2 linked regions of the Macaca mulatta genome follow. The protein of the gene in region 1 purifies or fractionates together with the protein of each later gene. This does not show direct contact. Links are inferred from orthologs where the notes say so. Each region holds a gene or a part of one and is shown in the gene's direction. Other genes may lie near its edges.

Evidence for each region. The genes of interacting proteins can lie anywhere in the genome.
Region 2: the proteins of RBMX (region 1) and SF3B1 fractionate together in Homo sapiens (co-fractionation; 3 studies listed by BioGRID and IntAct, with this or other methods). This does not show direct contact. The link is inferred for Macaca mulatta from reciprocal best matches to the Homo sapiens genes RBMX and SF3B1.

The regions. Positions count from the first base shown.
Region 1 is NC_133426.1:143,218,617-143,221,317, reverse strand, and holds part of RBMX (RNA-binding motif protein, X chromosome), read left to right. Parts: intron 1-1,396; coding exon 1,397-1,549; intron 1,550-2,461; coding exon 2,462-2,576; intron 2,577-2,664; coding exon 2,665-2,701.
Region 2 is NC_133417.1:102,334,188-102,337,844, reverse strand, and holds part of SF3B1 (splicing factor 3B subunit 1), read left to right. Parts: intron 1-377; coding exon 378-498; intron 499-841; coding exon 842-973; intron 974-3,511; coding exon 3,512-3,657. UniProt on the Homo sapiens protein: Component of the 17S U2 SnRNP complex of the spliceosome, a large ribonucleoprotein complex that removes introns from transcribed pre-mRNAs.

The DNA.
Region 1 (2,701 bases):
AGATTATAGTGTTAGACCGTGGACAGTGTTACTTCTTGTCCAAGTAGTTTACTCTGTAGGAAAGGCATTTAAAAATTGATAAGCCAAGGTGTTGGACATGAAAATGAAATCATTTTTCTTTTATTTATTTATTTTTTTTGAGATGGAGTCTCGCTCTTTCACCTAGGCTGGAGTGCAGTGGCGGGATCTCAGCTTACTGCAAGCTCCACCTCCCGGGTTTACGCCATTCTCCTGCCTCAGCCTCCTGAGTAGCTGGGACCACAGGCGCCCGCCACCTTGCCTGGCTAGTTTTTTGTATTTTTTAGTAGAAACGGGGTTCCACCGTGTTAGTCTCGATCTCCTGACCTCGTGATCCACCCGCCTCAGCCTCAGCCTCCCAAAGTGCTGGGATTACAGGCTTGAGCCACTGCGCCCAGCCCATTTTTATTTTTTAAAGTTAGCTGGGCATGGTGGTGGGCGCTTATAATCCCAGCTACTCAGGAGGCTGAGGCAGAAGAATCACTTGAACTCGGGAGGTGGAGGTTGCAGTGAGCCGAGATCGTGTCACTGTACTCTCCAGCCTGGGGGAACAGAGTGAGACTCCTCAAAAAAAAAAAAGTTTAAGACTACCTTCAGTTCTTACTTCCCCAGTCTATATAACTGCACTGCATGTTCCGTCAAGTACAAGTGAAACTAGACTAGCCAAATTAATAATGGTCATTTTTGTTCGTTCGTTTGTTTTTGGGAGACAGAGTTTAGCTCTTGTTGCGCAGGCTGGAGTGCAGTGGCACGATCTTGGCTCACAGCAACCTCTTCCTCCCAGGTTTAAGTGATTGTCCTGCCTCCGCCTCCCGAGTAGCTGGGATTACAGGCATGCACCACCACACCTGGATTTTTGTATTTTTAGTAGAGACAGGATTTCACCATGTTACGCTGGTCTTGAACTCCTGGTCTCAGGTGATCTGCCTGCCTCGGCCGCTCAAAGTGCTGGGATTACAGGCCTGAGCCATTGTGCCCGGCCTAATGGTCATATTCTTCATGAAGCAAAGGAAATTTTGTAGTGGCCGAGTTTGGTGGTTCACGCCTGCAATCCCAGCACTTTGGGAGGCCGAGGCAGGAGGATCACAAGGTCAAGTTCGAGACCAGCCTGGCCAGCATGGTGAAATCCTGTATCTGCTAAAAAAAAAAAAATACAAGAAATTACCTGGGCATGGTGGCGCACACCTGTAATCCCAGCTACTCGGGAGGCTAAGGCAGGAGAATTGCTTGAACCTAGGAGGCGGAGGTTACAGTGAGCTGAGATCCCGCCACTGCACTCCAGCCTGGGCGACAGCGAGACTCCGTATCAAAAAAAAACTCTCATATCTTTCTTGATTCTTGTGAGTAGTAATATTTTTCTTTTCTATTCTTGATGTAGATGACGGTGGATATTCCATGAATTTTAACATGAGTTCTTCCAGGGGACCACTCCCAGTAAAAAGAGGACCACCACCAAGAAGTGGGGGTCCTCCTCCCAAGAGATCTGCACCTTCAGGACCAGTTCGCAGTAGCAGTGGAATGGGAGGGAGAGGTAAATGTTCCATGTATGACAATCTGTGCTACTACTGTAACAAAGAATTGAGAGGTAAATGATGCTTAAAAGTTTAATTGGCTGGGCGTGGTGTCTCATGCCTGTAATCCTAGCATTTTGGGAGGCCAAGGCAAGAGATTGAGACTATCCTGGCCAATGTGGTGAAACCCTGTCTCTACTAAAAAAATACAAAAATTAGCTGGGCATAGGGTGGGTGCCTGTAATCCCCGCTACTTGGGAGGCTGAGGCGGGAGAATTGCTGGAACCTGGGAGGCGGAGGTTGCAGGGAACCGAGATGATGCCACTGCACTCCAGCCTGGCAACAGAGAGACTCCCTCTCAAAACACACACACGCACACGCACACGCACGCGCACGCACACACCCCCCTAGCTTTATTTGTGGAGTCTGGGCGCGGTGGCTCACACCTGTAATGTTGGTACTTTGGGAGGCTGAGGTGGGCGGATCACGAGGCCTGGAGTTTGACGCTAGTCTGGCCAACATGGTGAAACTCTGTTTCTACTAAAAATACAAAAATTAGCCGGGCACGGTGGAGGGTGCCTGTAATCCCAGCTACTCCGGAGACTGAGGCAGGAGAATCACTCGAACCCAGAAGGCGGAGGTTGCAGTGAGCCGAGATCACAGGACTGCACTCCAGCCTGGGTGACAGCGAGACTCCATCTCAAAAAAAAAAAAAAAAAATTTTGGTCATGTGTTCTAGGTGATCTAGATAAATGGAATTAGCACTGAAAAAAATTTAAAATGTGAATCGGAAATTCTAGAAAAAATGAGATGATCTAGCCTCCGTAATGTCATCTTTGAAGTCAGTCTCGTTTTCATAGCCTGAATGTAAGTTCACGTTTTAACTTCTTTCTCTGACTGTGTTTAAAAAAAGTGATGTAATTTTCCTTAAGCTCCTGTATCACGTGGAAGAGATAGTTACGGAGGTCCACCTCGAAGGGAGCCACTGCCCTCTCGTAGAGATGTTTATTTGTCCCCAAGAGATGATGGGTATTCTACTAAAGACAGGTAATAGAAAATTGCAGCTTTTTAAATTAATAATTAAGGTTGAAGGAAAGCTTATCAAAAGCATGAACCAAAACTTTTGTGTTTGTAGCTATTCAAGCAGAGATTACCCAAGTTCTCGTGATACT
Region 2 (3,657 bases), on another chromosome or scaffold:
CCTTTCTGGAAATTTTTGCTTTATTTACTTGTTTACCTCTGGCTTATATTGTTGTGTACGGCCGGAACATAAGCTGTCCCCATATTTAAATGTCAGTGCACAAATACATTTCAGAACCAAACAAAACTTTTTTGTTATTGAGTATCCATCATTCTTTAAATCACTTCACTGATTTCTTTCATTTCTATACATAATCAAAAATTGTTAATAAAAGTTAAAAACGATTCTGAGTCTGGTCAGAATCCGCGGCTTTCTCTTTCCATAGGCAGCTGTAAGTTTATATTTATGCATAGTCATATATAACGTTGCTAAGTAAAAGGAAAGTGAACAAAAGTTGCAATTCAGATGTTGATAGTTTATTGACTTCTATTAAATAGGTATGCATAAGATGACTCCACCAATTAAAGATCTGCTGCCTAGACTCACCCCCATCTTAAAGAACAGACATGAAAAAGTACAAGAGAATTGTATTGATCTTGTTGGGCGTATTGCTGACAGGTAAGCAGATTACCCACACATTTTTATAAGCAGTATCAATTTTCAAATTTGGCCACTTTGTATTCAATTAGCAAAATTTTCTTAATGTCACTAATATAAGTGTATATGATTAGGCTGTCTAGTATTAATATTTTCAGTCAAATTTCAATTTGGATGGTAATGGGGTGGCCATGTAATTTTAGGACTAAACCTGTAAGACTAACTCTTCAGCCTTTCTGAAGAGGAATAACTCTTATTTAATGCTTAAAATGAGTTAACAATCATGTTTTTAGAACTGAATTTGCAAATTTATCCTTAAAACTTTTCCTAATGTCACAAATAATATGTGTATTTTTTAAATTAGGGGAGCTGAATATGTGTCTGCAAGAGAGTGGATGAGGATTTGCTTTGAGCTTTTAGAGCTCTTAAAAGCCCACAAAAAGGCTATTCGTAGAGCCACAGTCAACACATTTGGTTATATTGCAAAGGCCATTGGGTGAGTGTCACTTACTTCCATTAAAAAAAAAAATTATAATAAATTCGTTGTGGTGTTGAAAAATACTTCATGTAGAAATCTCTTTTGAGGCATGGTCTGAATAATGCAGTTGAGAAAGCTCTTCATTTAACCATTGACCTTCTGATTTTTGGAATGTATTCTTAAATTCAATTTGTGTGTTTGTTTTTTTTTTGAGACGGAGTCTTGCTCTGTCACCCAGGCTGGAATGCAGTGATTTGATTTCAGCTCACTGCACCCACCACCACCTCCCGGGTTCAGGAGATTCTCCTGCCTCACCCTCCCCAGTAGCTGGGACTATAGGCATGCGCCATCACGCCCAGGTAATTTTTGTATTTTTTAGTACAGATGAGGTTTCACCATGTGGGCCAGGCTGTTCTCGAACTCCTGACCTCAAGTGAGCCACCTATCTTGGCCTCCAGAAGTGCTGAGATTACAGGCATGAGCCACCACACCCAGCCTGTAGTCTTAAATTCTTAATTGAATTAAAATAGATGGAAGGGTTTAAGATTTACTTTAATTATACTTTAGGTGTTTTCAGGGAGGGAAACAGTACCATTTTCAGAAAAATACAAAATGTGTACTGGTCTTTTAGGATATTGCTTAAACTATTAAGGCAAATTTTTAGTCTCACAGCATCATTTAAGTCTCATATTAATGCTTTATGTGTTTTAAAAGTTGTATTATGGATTGTTTGAGCTCAGGAGTTTAAGGTTACAGTGAGCTGTGATTGTGCCAGTGTACGAGACCCTGTCTCTAAAAAAAAACAACAAAAATGCTATTCTAACATTACTCCACGGATTTAACTGAATTATAGCTGCTTTGTGAGATAATCTATGGTTGTTTGCTTCCATTCCATCACAACTAAAGTAGGAAAAAAGTCATTATAGAAAACGAGACACGGCCGGGCGCGGTGGCTCAAGCCTGTAATCCCAGCACTTTGGGAGGCCGAGATGGGCGGATCACGAGGTCAGGAGATCGAGACCATCCTGGCTAACACGGTGAAACCCCGTCTCTACTAAGAAATACAAAAAATAGCCGGGCAAGGTGGCAGCGCCTGTAGTCCCAGCTACTCGGGAGGCTGAGGCCGGAGAATGACGTGAACCCGGGAGGCGGAGCTTGCAGTGAGCTGAGATCCGGCCACTGCACTCCAGCCTGGGCTACAGAGCGAGACTCCGTCTCAAAAAAAAAAAAAGAAAAGAAAACGAGACACCACATGTCCATGTGGCTTAAGAAAATGTGTTCAAGGAATATGACATGTGAACGTCTGATTAATTAGGTAGAATTAACCAGACCACACCCCCTCCCCTAACACACACTAATTTCTCTCCTATTTTGGTAGCATAATATTTATTTCAGTGGTGATGGAGTCAAGAAATTTGTAGTGAATAGCTGTCATGCAAGCTTTTAGCCCCAATGTCCCTCTAAGTTTATGTCAAAGAAGAGGCAAATAGATGCAGCAAATTGTGTGGGAGGGAAGATAAAAGAAAAGAGATTTTATGGCCGGGCGTGGTGGCTCACGCCTGTAATCCCAGCACTTTGGGAGGCCGAGGTGGGCGGATCACAAGGTCAGGAGATCGAGACCATGGTGAAACCCCGTCTCTACTAAAAATAGAAAAAATTAGCCGGGCGCAGGGGCGGGCGCCTGTAGTCCCAGCTACTCGGGAGGCTGAGGCAGGAGAATGGCGTGAACCCGGGAGGCGGAGCTTGCAGTGAGCCGAGATTGTGCCACTGCACTCCAGCCTGGGCGACAGAGCGAGACTCCGTCTCAAAAAAAAAAAAAGAAAGAAAAGAGATTTTATATGGTTTATAATGGGAGACCACAATTCAGATATTCCCCTCACCACTCCTACCTAGTTCTAGTGCCCATTTTGACAACTCAGAATTACTCACTTTAAACATTTAGTTAAATTTCTTTATATTTCAGAAAGTTTAAAAACTGAAAATTACATATGAAAATTAATTTGAGTTAACTTACTTTTTTTTTTTTTTGAGAAGGAGTGTCACTCTGTCACGCAGGCTGGAGTGCAATGGCATTGTCTCAGCTCACTGCAACCTCTGCCTCCCAGGTTCAAGTGGTTCTCCCACCTCAGCCTCCCAAGTAGCTGGGACTACAGGTGTGTGCCACCACACTCGGCTAATTTTTGTGTCTTTAGTAGAGACGGGGTTTCACTATGTTGGCCAGGTTGGTCTCGAACTCCTGACCTCGTGATCCGCCTGCCTCGGCCTCCCAGAGTGTTGGGATTGCAAGCGTGAGCCACTGCATCCGGCCAAAATTTTTAAAATTTGTACAGCTGTGACCTCTGATCTTCTCAGAGTTAACTTTTTAAAACTGACCTTTTAATTTATATGAAATTTTAATGTAGAAACAATGCCAGTGACTTGGAAGTATTGCGTTTTATAAAATTACTGAGTTCCCTGTAATTATTAATATTTAAAAGTTTTCATCTTTATGCATTTTTTCTTCCATAAATTTTTGACTTATAATGTAACAGCTTGTTGACCCATTTTTTTTTTCAGCCCTCATGATGTATTGGCTACACTTCTAAACAACCTCAAAGTTCAAGAAAGGCAGAACAGAGTTTGTACCACTGTAGCAATAGCTATTGTTGCGGAAACATGTTCACCCTTCACAGTACTCCCTGCCTTAATGAATGAATACAGAG